2 linked regions of the Tamandua tetradactyla genome follow. The protein of the gene in region 2 interacts with the protein of the main gene of each other region in a pairwise test. Links are inferred from orthologs where the notes say so. Each region holds a gene or a part of one and is shown on either strand. Other genes may lie near its edges.

What was found.
Region 1: the proteins of PNMA1 (region 2) and TNNI1 interact in binary tests that used the Homo sapiens proteins (3 or more experiments, as listed by UniProt). The two-hybrid records come from large-scale screens. The link is inferred for Tamandua tetradactyla from reciprocal best matches to the Homo sapiens genes PNMA1 and TNNI1.

Annotation. Positions count from the first base shown.
Region 1 is NC_135330.1:58,480,424-58,487,954, forward strand, and holds the start of TNNI1 (troponin I, slow skeletal muscle), read right to left. Parts: upstream 3,016-7,531; coding exon 2,995-3,015; intron 412-2,994; coding exon 370-411; intron 1-369. UniProt on the Homo sapiens protein: Troponin I is the inhibitory subunit of troponin, the thin filament regulatory complex which confers calcium-sensitivity to striated muscle actomyosin ATPase activity.
Region 2 is NC_135338.1:32,581,932-32,589,755, forward strand, and holds PNMA1 (paraneoplastic antigen Ma1), read right to left. Parts: upstream 3,018-7,824; 5' UTR 2,228-3,017; coding exon 1,166-2,227; 3' UTR 361-1,165; downstream 1-360. Other genes in the region: MIDEAS (mitotic deacetylase-associated SANT domain protein), read right to left, coding at 7,199-7,388, 7,805-7,824.

The DNA.
Region 1 (7,531 bases), on a different chromosome or scaffold from region 2:
CCCCTAACAGTTCTCATCTTACCCACAATTTTTTTTATCTGTTTTGGCCCCGCAGGGACCCAAAGGAAGAAACTCTTGCCGAAGTAAGTCCCTCTGCTGTCACCTGTGGATTTCCACCCTGAAGCTGGTCACCTCCTCTCAGGACCCTAGGCAGGTGTCAGCACTTCATAGCTTGAGGTGCCCTCCACTGGTCACCTGTGCCCAGGTGTTGGTTCTGGGCCACAGCCAGATTCCCTCGACCTCTCCGTCAGCAAACTGGCGTCCTCGCTGTGGTCTCCTTCCTCTTCACCCTTCAGTGCCCCTCCATGCCCCCTCAGAAGCTTCACTGCACTCCCTCTGCTTCCCCCTGAAGCTAGCACCCGGCCTCACCTTCAGCAAGAGTTTGCGGGAGGCGGTGATCTTGGATTTTCTCTGAGGACAAGAAAGGGGAGAGGCAGATGGTGAGGCTGAGCCTGCAGAATTGGAATTCCGGTCTAGGTTGGGATAAGCACCAACTTGGGTTCACCATCACTACCCAGAGTCCTCTGCTTCCCATAGTGTCCCTTAAAAGCTCATCTTCCTGATTGAACCCACCAACTTCAGAAAGAATACTGTAGTCAGCTATCTCAACCTAGGGACCAAAGCTCTCACTGCCCATTCTGGTTCTGCTGCTGGTGCAATCCTGTAGGATACTGTGCAGGTCACACAACTTTCATGGTCACCCCTTCCTCACCTGTAAATAGGGATACTGGGACCCGCTTTACTTAGTTCACCAAGTTATGACAAACAAGATGAGATTAAGGATGTGCAAGTCTTTGAAAGGCACAAAAGAGATGCACGTTGATAGTATTCTGAATGCTCATATAGGAATATCCTGATGATCTGTTGTGCTAGAGAAATAAGCTGTTTCCCACACAAACAAAACACATCTCTTTAGACATCAAAACTATCTTCAATGTTAACATCATCCATATAAATTTTTCAAAGTTGTAAAGACACTATATTCTCTTCTTATCAATTTTACTAAATATGTTCTTGCCAACCAGTTCTGTTCTGCTAAATCTCATTCTCACAGCAGGGGCAGTGGAGGTGAGTGAGCTGCTCAACCCCTAACCGGTGAGACCACTGTGCCTTCCGAGGATCTGTCCTTTCTCAACCATAGGTCATCAATTTTCATAGTTACCAGTGAGCATCCTATCTACTTCTAATGTGTGGGGAAGCATAGCTCTAGTTTGTTATTCTAATCTGTAAAGTACCAATGATCAGACTTTGAGTGAGCAGCTCTCATGAGAGAAAATGAATGAACTTTAGTGCATGGAAAGTGTGACTTCTAAGCTGATGGTTGAGGGTAGTTTGTTTATCTTTTTTCCTCCCTTAGAGCCTAGGCTTTTGCTATGTTTCAGATAAGTGTGCTATGTTTCGGATAAGAGAAATGGACTACTACCATAATTGCTTTCTCCTATGCTTTACACATTGTAATGTACCCATGGCAAATATTCCATTGGTGTTTGTTTTCCCAACCACTTGGTGAACTTATGGGCCACCTCACTGAACCACCAATCGATGTGTATGAACCTCACTTAAGTATGAACCTCAGCAAAATGGAGTTAGAGATTCATATGACTATCAAAACTCAGCACATTCAAGACAACCAAAGCAATAGGCTGAGCCCCCAATCTTGGGATTTGTTCATATGTAACTTAACCCCACAAAGGATAGGTCAAGTCTACTTAAGATAAGGCCTAAGAGTCACCCCCAAGGGAATCTCGTTTGTTGCTCAGATGTGGCCTCTCTACCCAGCCAACACAACCAGCAAACTCACTGCCCTCCCCGTGTCTATGTGGGACGTGACTCCCAGGGCTGTGGACCTTCCTGGCAACGTGGGACAGAAATCCTAGAATGAGCTGAGACTCAGCATCAAGGGATTGAGAAAACCTTCTCAACCAAAAGGGGGAAGAGTGAAATGAGACAAAATAAAGTGTCAATGGCTGAGAGATTCTAAACAGAGTAGAGAGGTTATCTGGAGGTTATTCTTATGCATTAAATAGATATAGCCTTGTTAGTTGAGATGTAATGGAGAGGCTGGAGGGAATTGCCTGAAAATGTGGAGCTGTGTTCCAGTAGCCATGTTTCTTGAAGATGATTATATAATGATATAGCTTTCACAATGTGTCTGTGATTGTGAAAAACTTGTGTCTGATGCTCCTTTTATCTACCTTATCAACAGATGAGTAAAACATATGGAATAAAAATAAGTAATGGGGGAACAAATGTTAAAATAAATTTAGATTGAAATGCTAGTGATCAACGAAAGGGAGAGGTAAGGGGTATGGTATGTATGAATTTTTTTCTGTTGTCTTTTATGTCTTTTTCTGAATTGATGCAAAAGTTCTAAGAAATGATCATGATGATGAATATGCAACTATGTGATGATATTGTGAATTACTGATTATATATGTAGAACAGACTGATCATAAGTTAAGAATGTTTGCATTTGTTTGTTGTTTTTTTAACTTAAAAATTAAATTCTTAGATTTTTTTAAAATGAAAAAAATTAGCATATTCATCATGGTGATGAATATACAACTATGTGATGATATTGTGAGTTATTATTATATACCAAGAATGGAATGATCATCTGGTAAGGATGTTCATGTTTGTATGTTGTTATGTTTAGGAAAAAATTAAAAATTAAAAAAAAATGAGCACATTCAATTCTTACAGAGAATCTCTGTGAAATATCCCTCCATCAGTGCTCCTAATTCCTCCACACATCATCCCTGAGTCCTCAGGTCTCTCCCTGCAGCCCCCATCCCCAGGCCGCGCACAGGCTATGTTCTCAGTAGCCTGAATAAATATGGATTGTACAGAATGACCAGAGTCAGGGGTATCTAAGACCTGAGGGGGGTCTGAGGACACCTGTTTGCTCCTTCCTCAAAGTTTAGTCATTGGACAGGAGTGGAATAATATCCCAATAACCATCCCCTCCTCTGCCTCAAATATGGCTTTGCTCACGGCCAGCTCTGCAGGGAACATGATGCCCACCCACCCCACCCCACCCCCAGGGCTGGACGAGCTCCCAGACATAGGGAGCATGAATTTGCTCAGTGCTTGGCAAAGGTGTAGAGTGAGGAGACGGGGCAGAGCCACACCCAGCTCAGCTGTGGGCCCAGCCCCAGGATCCCCTTCTCAGCGGCATGGTGCACTGGAGTGCCAACTGCCAGCCTTGCCTCCAGAATCTTCCACCGAGGTTTCTATTCTGGAAATTGGCTCAGCTGCTGGGCCTTCCCCCACCCCAGTCTTGACCCAAACTCACTCCTCTCCTCAGATGCCCACCCCACCTTCATCAGTCTGAAGAATTAACCAAGAAAAAAAAAAGACACCCCAAATATCACTTACTTCTCTTTAGGCATCCATCGCAGGAAGGTCAGGGAGAAAGAGCAGAACACAAAATGAGTATGAACAATGCGTGTTATACATGCAGCAGCAGACACACGCCCTCCAGCTTGGGGGGAGAGGGAGGACAACGCAGCAGAGAGAAGGCAGGGAGGCAGCCGTGGGGGAAGGGCAGGGGTCTAATTCAAGGGTTCCATAGGATGGAATAAAGACACAACTGCCCTTTGGGCTGCCAGAAGTTCTTACTGGGAGATAATGGTCATTGTAAGTGCAGGGAGGGATGGCGAGAGATGAGGGATGGTGGGAGATGAGGGAAGTCAGAGTTTTTCCAGCCTCAATGTAGAAGTCCAGGGATGAGAAAGGATCCATCCTGGGCTTTTTGGGTAAATTGCCAACACTCTGTTCATCTACTAGGCCAATGCTAAGTCAGGGCCTGGCAGCCAGCATTTCATTTGATCAGCGCAAACACACAAACTCTGAAACACAGGCCAAAATGGTCTTCCCTGGGCAAACCAGCAGTTTGCTCAGCTGCTGGGCATGAGTTCCGCTCGAAGACTGGGAGGGCGTGTGGCAACATTCTGGGGAAACCATCAGAGGCTGGGTAGAGCAGAATGGTCCCTCAGTGAGGGGCTGAGCTCAGCCAAGGCACAGGCCTTCCCGAAGCATAAGGGGGGCGGATTACTCACACTTCCGGCATGGTGGCAGGGGGGCAGCACCTAGAGGACACAGAGGGGTCGTTAGTGTGAAAACCTCATAGCTTCTGCTCCCCCCTCCCCATCTACCCAGGTATGCCTTGGGAGAGAGTCATACACCAGGGAAGAAGAAATCAGACAGCAGATTCCAGTGGCTCAGGATGGGGTAAATATTTGTCTGTTCATTCTTTCATTTATTCATTCACTCATTCATCCATGAGAGAGAGAAATCTAATAAAGGAGAAGAAGCAATATAAGAACCAAAACTGCAGGCAGGCCATGGTGGCTCAGCAGGCAAGAATGCTTGCCTGCCATGCCAGAGGACCCGGGTTCGATTCCCAGTGCCTGCCCATGTAAAAAATAATAATAATAAAAAATAAATAAAAAGAAAGAAACAAAAGTGGGACGGGATCAGCAAATTACAGCCTATTGGCCAAATCTGGCTGTATGATAAAACCTATTTACTCTCTGGCCCTTTGCGGAAAAAGTTTACCAACTGCTGTGGGTAACAGGATAGAGTCCATGGAAAATATGGCTGAAAAGGGAAGCTGAGGCTCACCCACGAGAGTCTTGAATGACGAGCTGAATTTAGATTTTATCCTGGGATAATAAGTGGCTGTTGACGTTCACACAGAGGGAACAGACAGAAGATGAATTGTGTGGAACATGGGATAGAGGAGCTACCTTATGACAACTCCAGGGGGGGCTATTCACATTTCAGACCATGCAGTTGTGCCCAGGGGTGTGTATTCACATAAATCACGGCGTGACTGGTCTTCCCCTGGGTAGGGCGATGGGACAACCTGAATGACAGTTAGGCCAGGAGGCCTGCTGGAGTCTTTATCCTTAACTTCTCTGGGCCAGCTTTCTCCTCTGCAAATTAGGGGTTAGATGAGTGGTTCTTCTCTTACTATTTAGCTCTTCAACTCTTTGTTCAAACCAAATTTTACTTGGAAGCAAAACAAATGCCATCAGTAAGAGTAGGACAGCCTGGTTGAAGGCGGATACTCTGTGGCCTGCCGTAAGTCCCCCGGCCATGGGGCACAGTTTGAAGCCCCTGAGCTGGTGACCCCTGGAAGATCCATCATCCCTGGTGATCCAAGGAAGATGGTCCTTGATGCTGCAGAGTGGGACGATATTCCCAAACCAGACCTGATTCACCATCTTGTCTGGGCCCGGAGAAAGAACATTCCAACGGCAAGGGTGATGTGCAAAAGCTCAGGGAGGGAAGGGGACATCTGGCATGGGGAACAGGTATGTAGAGTAGGACAGGAATCTCAAGCCACATTGTGAAGTGAGGAACAGGGGAGATCAGTGGGCGAGCAGCGTGGGGCTCAGGGCCAGGAGTGTGGACTTGCTCAGGAGCCCAGTTTGGAGCAGGGGGGGTGGGGGGGGAGCAAAACGTCAAGGCTTCTTGCAAAGTCACTACCAATGCTTTCTTTCCAGAGCTGCCCCCTTCCTCTGCTTTAATTTTCTCCCTTCCCTTTATGCCCATGAAGCCGTCTTCCTCACCCCAATGAGCAGGGCTGTGCCCCCTTCTCCTGAACCTCCCACCCAGCCTGAAGACCTTCTGGGCCTCCACCCTCGCCTCTGCCCCCAGGGGAGGAGGGGGAGGGAGTGAGACCCCAGAGCCTCAGCTGTCACCATGGGCACAGAGGGAGAGGTGTGGAAACAACCCATACATTCCCGAGATGCTTGGCTGAAATTAGATTTTATAGCCAGCTGCTTATTCTGAGAGCTCCACTCCTCTATAGACACTGAAGAAATCCAAAAAAGAAAATGCCAGCTGATGAAAATCCACCCCTAGATTCCCCATCCATCATCATCACCCTCCCACCACCCCAACCTCCAGAGGGCAGCGGGTCTGGGCCGAGCAGACCTTTGGTCTGTCTCCCTGGCCTCGCCTTGGTGGGCACTTGGCCATGTTCCTGCCTCCCCCAGAGAGCCCACAGTCAGCACTGCAAAGCCCCTGCCTGCTGTGGCCCGCCAGGCAGGCCTCCTGCTGCCCAGCCTGTCCCTCTGACAAATGCCAGGCCAAGGGGTCCCACGTCAGACAAGGAGCCCCAGCCTGGGCTCTGGCACCCGCCAGACAGGACCCCTTGACAGGTTCGGTGGAAGACAAGCGGAGGCCTGATAAGAAGGCAGGATGTAGATAGCAGCAAACACGGGGCTTGGAGGGCCAGGATTCTGTCTCCTCCACAAGCATCAAGTAAGGAGATAAGCAGAAAATCCACAACTGCAGGGAGGGAGCGAAGAATCTCCAGTGGTTGACTCAGAGCCAGATTCTCTGCTCCATGAGGCCCCATAGGGTAGAGAAGGAATACAAACTACACTGTGGGATTGAGGCTGTGTGTGAGAGTGTGTCTGAGCATATAAGTGTGCATGTAAAGTGTAAACGTGATTGTGTGTGTGTGCCTGCGCATGAGAGAGAGAGAGAGAGAGAGAGAGAGAGTAAGGAAAGGAACGGATCTCGTTGCAGAAAACATGAATTTCCTAGTTAGGCTCATGCGCTTCCCCTGCCCACCCTGACCTTGGACCCGAGTTCAAGGGCATCCCTGTCCTCCTAAGGGCAACCTGAGTGTTAGCCACAGCTGTACTCCTAAGCCTGTGGCCGTGGACTGCCTTCCACCCGCCGCACCCCCATGTAAGCTGGGAAAGCCTAGCCCCAGACCTGCTGTGGGGCTGTGACTTTGAACCTGGAGGCAGGTGTGACCCTCAGTCCCCAACCCTTTAAAGCCAGATCCCTGGTCCTCCAAGCCCCACATCTGCTGCTATGTACACCCCATCTTATCAGAGGCCCCACACCCGCCCCCACCCCAGCCTGGTCCCCACTGTAGAGCTGCCCTCGTTCACGCGTTCAGTCTCTCGTGCCCCAACTCCAGCAGCTGGTCCCATCTGCCTTCCCCCAGCGGGTGCCCCCTGTAACTCCTGCCACCTCAGAGTCGGCAGTGGCAAAGACGGGTTGGCCCTTTGCCACACGGGTTGGCAGTCTGCCCTTAGCTGCTTTTTTTCCTACCAAACAGATGGATGGGCGAGGGAAGTTGAAAGCACCCCTCAGAGACAGAGAACAAAGGGGCAACGTGGGCTCGGTCAGCAGGGCCTCTGGTCCTATCTCCTGAGCTCCCGCAGAGCCTCTCCCACCTTCAGCACTCACCTTCCTTCCACTGCGGCCATCACTCACTCTGATGGCTCCCTGGGCTCACCCTAAACTTCCAAGTGCAGCCCCTCAGCCCCTGTCTCTGACCCCCAATGCCACCCCTTCCCCTGGGTGTCCTTTCTCCACTGTACCTACGAGCAGCCTGATGTAAAAACCATCTGCTCTGGGGCTCCTTTTGGAACCTTGTGGTAAATTCGGCTCCTGGCTCCCAGCCTTATTTCTGTTGTCCAGGTTTGCCATCCATCCCAGCTTCTCTACCCACCTTGGGTGGGAGGAGGTTGCACCTCCAACAAGAGTTTTGCAGAAG
Region 2 (7,824 bases):
TATAAAATATCATTTTACACATGAATGTATACTGAGTCAGTTACTACTTCAGTGAAACAAAATTTTTGCTGAGAAGGGATTTAAAAAGGAAATAAAAACATTGCCAGATACCCTCCCTAAACCCCATCTCAAAATTAACCTAAAAATTTTTATTTTACTTATATCTATTTAACTTCCTAATATTTGCCTTAAAAACATGTAAAAATTGAATATATTAAAAGAAATTACAATTTTAACTCATAATGATAAAGCTTAAAAATAAATCAAGGTTTGATTTTGTTAAAAAGGAAAAAAATTGTAAGAAAAGGAGAGAGAGCTGAAATTACACTGAAGAATTTTATACATGACAAAATCAGACAATAAGTTTTAAATCTTTTTATTAGCATACATCTATTAAACAATTTCAAATTTTAGAACACTTAGAATCAGCAAGAATAAGGAGACCTACTATTTGATGACAAAGATGGAGAATGGGGGAATGGATTATTCTGCAGGTTATCAACTTCTCAGGCGATTTATATCTGTATCTTGTATCAAAATTCTTGATTTACACACCTCTACAGTTGCAGTATTTTTCAAACACCCCATTTTGTAGTCTCAGAATACTTTTCAATTAAACTGAGAGACATTTAAAGATGAGAAATATGAAATTGCACTTTATAGTTAAATAACAAATATCTAATAAATTCACATTTCTTTTCCATTAATATAAACTAGGAACAATATACAGTAAGCACAAACTATGCACGATATTAGTAACAATAAAAGTTCACATTTTTACTGAACACTTCCTTTCAGCTAAGCCTTGTGCTGTCTGAACATGCAATTTCTCATTTAACAACCTTGATGGGAAGCGCACAGGTTCACTTGTTTTTCACAACTGACAATGATGCCACGATGACAGCTCACACTGAGCACGTATTCAAGCCTTTACCTGGCATTTCAGCCAGCATGATGCACTTGCACTGTTGCAGCAGCTCACAGTGCTCGCTTGCAATTTTACAAATGTTACACTAATATGCAGGCCGGACTCCCCCTCCCCCCACCCCAAAAAGAACACAACAGAACACTTCTATGGATTTACTAATCAGAGAACACACCTATAACACAAACAATGGAGCAGACGTGATCTAGGTCTGCCCTAAAGCCCCCTTTTTCCAGGGACTTAGAAGTGCCCCTCCAGGCCTAACTGCAGGAGGGCTGCCTCAGCCTCCTCCTCCTCCTCCTTGGCCTCCTCCTCGCGGATCTGCACCAGCAACTGGAAGAGGTTAGGGGCCGGCCCTTCCGCAGCCCCAGTCAGCCATAGCTGCCTTCGGATAGCCCCGCTGTGGTTGGCCCCCGCAATGACTTGCTCCAGGCGGGCCTGGTTCACGTTATCTTTATCGATGGCCCCCTTGTCCACCACCTTCTGCAGCAGAGGCTCCAGACGAATGACATAAGCAGATAACTTTTCTCCAGGGTTCTGATAAGTGTTCAGAAATCTGACCTGCGCATCTCTAGAGCTCTCCACACTCCCAAACACCTGCTCAAGAGCCTTCAGACATTCGGCAGTGGTTATGGCGGGGTTGTTGGTCTTGAGGATGCGAATGACATCAGAGGCGGGGCCTCTAAGACTCTCAATCAACCGCCGCCTCTTTTCTACATCAGACACCTGCCACTCCTCCATGACCTCATTAGTGTGCTCTAACCAGGGATCAAAAGTCTCCTCCCCAGGCCCCGGAATATCTCTCCCCGAAAACAGGGTCAGCTTCTTGTACCAGATAGACTCAACAAGAGGCTGAATAACATTATCCAAAATATAATTTAGCATCTCTGCTGGCATTTCTGGGCCTGGGGCCGGAGCGGGGTTCTGAAATCCAAGGACCCGAGCAACATCTTGCACGGTCCACCCCTCTCTCGCTAGGAAAAGATGCAGCCTTTCCAAAAACTCAGCATCAGAAGTTGGGGGCTTAAAGACCACTTTCCAGACCCCGCCTTTACCCGGCATCTCCCGGGGGATAGCGGCGTAATCTACAGCACCAGTGAGCTCTAACAAGGCTGCTTTCGCATTCTCTTCCCTCCAGAACATTCTCCCAAGCACTCGATAGGGTACCTGGGGCATTGCTGCCTGGAGGGTCTCTTCGATTTCAGCCTCATCACAATTCACTGGGATTCCCCAGACCAGCAAGGCTCTCTGGGAGTTCACATCCATCCCCCTGCACCAGTCTTCCAACAATGTCATCGCCATTTTCCCAACTATCAAGTGGCGGCACCCTTACAAGTACGAATTCGATTGTGGCTTTGGCCTAGGGCTTAGCACAATACCAGACTCTCCCCCGAACAAACACGAGGGGGGCAAGCTTCCCGCAATTACAACTAACAAATGATACCAAAGTCCTGCCCTCGCCCTTCCCCTACCCCAAAGTACTACTCTCGTAAGTCCGTCCGGGCGTTCTCGGAGCGAGGCCTCGCGGACGCTCAGTCTAGTAAGTCACGCGGCCGGCGCCATCTTGCGTCTCCGGTCGGCTCCACGGCCGAGGTCCGTCGCCTGCAGACAGGGCGTTGACTCGCGACGAGGAAGGCGAGAAGAGAGGGCGGGTCGAGAAGGCTGGAGCCTCCGGGCCGAAGAGGCCGCCGGGGTGTGGTTGCGGGGCGTGGCCGCCTCTGCTCTCAGCCGCTCCGGGCGTCGATCAGGCGTTGGCGGACGGAGCTAGGCCTTCAGGGCGGCGGCCTGGAGAACTCTGCCGTCCACCGAGGGAGCTGTTCCAACGTTGCAGAGGCGACGGCGGCCAGACCAGGCGAGCCGGGAATGGTTTCTCCGCGGGCGCAGGGACCTTTCTAGGCAGCGACGATGACCGGGGACCGAGGCGGCAGACGGGCTAGAAGGACGGAGAGGCGAGGCTATGGCGGCTGAGACGACCGAGGGTAGGGGCAGCCGAGCGCGCCGGTCGCAGCGGGCTCTGGTGCAGCGTGGCGACCAGAGCGTCCTCCTCACAGCGAGCTCAGGAGCTTCTGCCGCAGTGGAGGGCGCCGCCCAAATCGCGAGGCGTCGAGCGCGCCCCGCCCCCACGACGGAGCAAGCGCGCGTGTAACCATGGCAACGGTGTCCCAGGCGACGGGAAATGCGCGCGCTCCCGTGGCGGGCTGAGTCGATTCGTTGCCATGGTGCCAGCGACAGGCTGTGGGCAATGGTTTTTTTGATGGCGCATTTCCTTTTTCACGTTTTCCGGTTTGTTTGTTTTTTTTACAGTGAACAAATATGCTAAGCACCGTGTTTAAAAATAAGGATCTAGAGTAGACTTAAAATATTGTTGAAAATGCACCCATCATTCAGGCCTGTGTATTGAGGTCGCTCATTCAGTTAGTCTATGCTGCATAATAAAATGTTCTCAACACCCCGGCCACCTGACCATACCCTGCATCCTGCATTTAATTCCAATGAAACCAGGAGGCATGTCATTTATGTTTTTGTGTGCGACACTGAGTTTAAATATTTTCTTACCTAAAACTTGGTAGTAGATACATTATTTCTACTCAGTCACCTTTGTAGCAAGGACACCATCAGTGTGAATTTTTTCTTGTCCTAGCGTCGACAATGAGCTGGTAAAACAGAATCCGTGTACAAAAATGTCCAGTGTCATCCCTTGTATGCAAAACAAGGCCTAATTATGTCAACCCCAGTTGGTGAAAAAAACAAAGCAAAAGAACACAGCATTCAACTCTGAATTTTTAAAACCTTATTTAATAAAAGGTTTAAAGATACAGAAGAACATTCAAAAGTAAATAAGTTACATAGGTACGTTACAATCACATCAGCAAGATTTTCTTTAGTGTATTAATTTTTTTTTTTATAAAAAGCACACAAAAAATAAAATTTTCAGTCTGGTCTATCACAACTGTACAGCAAAAGAGGTAATATTTATAATATATGTACACTAGTTTAATATGTAACAGTCTTTTTAAAAAAGGGTGCCACAGGCAGCAAACACACAAAAGGCAGTGTCTGATCTTTTTTTTTTCAAAATAAAAGGAATATAGTATTTATATGCTATTAAAATATTTGTACAATAATTACAGACTGTCAAGGCTGTTCCTGTGCTCTGTCCCCTCCAACAAGGCCTTCAACTTGAGAGACAATGAAGAAAAAGTGATAACAGCTGCAAATTGTTAGAGGCAAATAGTAACACAGCCAAATGTGGGGAGGATGCAGAATTGTTTTATAAAAATATGCATACTTCCTGTAAACCTAAGGAGTTAGGCTTGCCAGTCTGGTAATAAACGATCCAAGGAAAGTAGGCCCCAGTGAAAACACATTTAAACAGCTGAGGCTGGAGTATATGTGTATTCCTCCTTCATCTTAACATCTGGCACATAAGAAAGAGGTTACATCATTGAGGCAGTTAAACATAGGCCATCCCTTAAGACACAAGCAGCATGTGACCTCTGTGCTAGGGTGGACCTCACTTAGCACAGCGGGAGGTGGGGCGGCAGAAAGGGCTTGAGGGGGCTGCTGAAGGCATGGAGGACAGTGCTGACAGCACTGCTTCCTCGGGTAGGTAAGAGACCTCAGAAATGGTCTGGAATACAGGCACTAGGTCAGTGTCATGCCCTTAGCTGAGTGCAGGTGGAGGCTGGAAGATGGATATGGTGGGACAGTGTAGGAGGGCATTATGAAACTGGAGGTTTTGTCACAACTTCCTACAGCAAAGAGCTCTGAAGAGGAAAAAATGGAGGGGGTGGGTAATGAATTGACTGTGTTCACAGGGAGAAAGCACCATGAGAGATATACATACCAGCTTCTATGGCTGCATCAACTGTATTGGCGGGGCACTTGCCACAATTGCATCTGCCCTCTGAGCATTTTAATTTTCACACTGCATTCTAGATATAAATCCATCCTTAAGCATGGATCCTCCTAAAATATGGTATCTGGTAGATAGGCTGCTGGACAATTAATACTTTCCCCATCTACATTCGCCTGGTCTGGTCTTCGTGAGCTGAGAAGAAATCATTTTCTTGTTAAAAAAAGATGTCAAAGGACTGGATGCTACCACTGGTCAGCAGGGTCTCATGAAACTGAAGGTTGTTTCCTTTATACGCCCATGAAGAGGCCTGAAACTAAATACAGTTTAAACAAAAAAACAAACATGGGACACAGAAGTAGCACTTTGGAGCTAAGCTGAGAAGGCACTCATATTCCACAAGTGATTTAAAAGTTAGTCTAAATTTGCTACCCTCCTGCTTCTAGAAGGGTAACAGATTTTTGCAATCTTGGGCCATGTAGCTTATAGAAGTCTATGGAAGAAACTGACTAGGAAGCTGGAAATATATGGGGTCATCCAGGAGTCGGGGAGGGAGAAGAATTTTGTTACTCTTATAGCTGGGGTCCGGTAGAAGCACATGAATGAATAAATGAATATTGAAAAATACCTGATAGTGCATAGTTTAGAAACAAAACTCCCTCCCCACTCTCAGTTACTAACATGATGCTTTTAGGCGGCTATTTCAAAAGGAGTAGCAGAATGCATACTGTGGGGTTTCTTTCTAAAATGTATGACCTGTCATTTACTTGTATTCACTTAGAACTCCTACACAGTTCAAGCTGAATAACAAGAACAGAAAAATAACTCAGCTCTCCTATGGGACTGGCAACTGAAGAGGCCTCTAAAACCTTCCAGCCCTTTTGCCTCAGTGACTCCATGCCAAATATGGCTTCTTCAAGCCAGAATCTAGGCGTGATAAACAAAATTAGAATTCTGGCCTCCTGTCAATCCCCTCAGGCGATCTGAAAGTACAGCCAGGGAAGTAGCAGCAAATAAAAACTGCCTTTGATCTCCCAAATGCTCCTGCTAGCTCCCGACACCCTCCACCTTTTTTTTTACCATCTTTCAATGCTGCCATCATTCCTACCGGCAAGAGCTTCCAGAGCAACAAGGCGTGGACCTTAGGGTTTGGGACTGAGGGGGGAGGCAGGGGAGTGGTGCCAAGAAGGTGCCTTGTTTGGGGATAAATGCACTTGGGCCTCTGGAAAGCAGGCGGCCCCCTGGTCCCTGAGAGGATGTTAAAACTTAAATATCAAGAATAAATAAATAGCTCCTGAATGACACCAGTCAAGGAAATGAAGGCTCCTTTCCAATCTACTTAGGAGACCTCCCTCTCCCAGGGAAAGATCCAGAAATCTCCAGCGTGCAGGATTGGGAAGCTGAGCTGTGGGCATCAGCACTAGACAGTGCTGAGGGGAGTTGGGGGGTAACTGCTGAGGGCAGGACAAAGGCAGGTAGGGTACTTGCCGCACAGAGGCACCGGCTGGGTGGCTGGGGATGGCTCCAGGCCTCTGCAGGCCTTGCTCGAGGCTAAACTCCCATGGCAACCTCCAGGGCCAAGAAAGTATTTGGCAAAGAGGTGGGAAGCAGGAAGAGCCAGGTTTGTCAAAAGCTCTGCTTCCTTCCTTTCAGCAGGCTAAGCGTTCAGACAGGGACCCGGCCCCCTTCCCCAAACATTTGAGAAAACTTTCCAACCCCAACAGGGCTGCTAGCAAGCAACAATGGGATAGGTACCTGTCCTCCGACTCTCCCACGATGCATTCTGGAGGCCTCCCAGGAGAAGGTGGCCTTTCTGAGGACATAGTCACGGAGCAGCTTAAGGCCTGGACCACCACATTCCCGCCAACAGTGCCTTTTTTTCGGGATGGGGGCCAGGCCTCTGAGGTCCTCTGGAGAGGGGGAATAATGCTGCCATGGGGGTAAGCTTGGGGGTGAGTTTGTGCTTGGCTTGCCAAGGCGGCTTCCTGGAGACTGAGGGGAGGGAGGATGGGACAGCAAGGAAGAAGGGAAGAGACCGAGCGGCAGCAGAGGTCAGAGTGTGAGAGGTGGCAGCAGCGGCCGGCCGCAGAGGCTGGAGCCCCTTCGGAGGAGGCAGCCCAAGTGGGGACTCTCACGGTTCCACGAAAGCATGAGGACAACTTCCAACAGACTAAATGCAAAGAGAACTGGATGCTGCTGCCCATTAACACTGCTCCTTGGGGCCTTTATAAATAAAAGAGCCATTTATTTGACTGTCTGGTTTGTTTTTTTTTTTTCAGAGGAAAGTCTATGGTATTCTCTTCTCACTCCCTCCGGAGGTTCCAGGGTGTTTCCAGGCGCTTCCGTAGGCGGGTGCGGGGAGGGGCCGGGGGTGGGGGGCCCGGGCCGAGGCTCGCCCGGCCGCGCCCTCCCTGCCGTCAGCCCTTCTCGCCAGCGCCGCCGTCGTCCCGCAGGGCCTGCGGGTGTGGGGAGGCGGCGGCGGCTGCAGCTGCTGCTGCGGCGGCGGCGGCGGCCTCCTTCTCCCGCTGTCTCAGAGCTGCAGCCTTCTTCTCCTGCTCTGCGTGGCTCTTCATGTGGGCGCTGCGGCTCTTCACCTTGTAGAATACCCTGCAGCCGGGCACAGGCGGGAGTTCACATAAGTGGTCTGGTCCTCCCAGTCCCCGGGGACCACTGGGGAGGCGGGGGAGTGAGTGAGAGTGTGCGTGTGCGTGAGGGGGGCTCCAGCGGGGGCCTTAGAGAGTGTGAGTGTGAGTGTGTGTGTATGTGTGTGAGGAGGGCTCCAACGGAGGCCTTCCCGACGTGCCCCAGGCCACACAGCCCAGCTTCCCCCTCTCCCAGAACCGAGGGGGAAGGCTCCTGACTCAGCGCCATGCCTCTCTTCTAAAAGCTGCCAAACGATGTCACTGCCCCAGAAACCCAATAAGCCAATCAGAAGACAAGGTAGACCTCTTCCCCCGCCCAATCAGACTTTCTGACCCGCCCCCCTACTGGAGAACCCATGGAGGCAGAGCCTGCCATCTTACCTGCCACATTTTTTACAAGG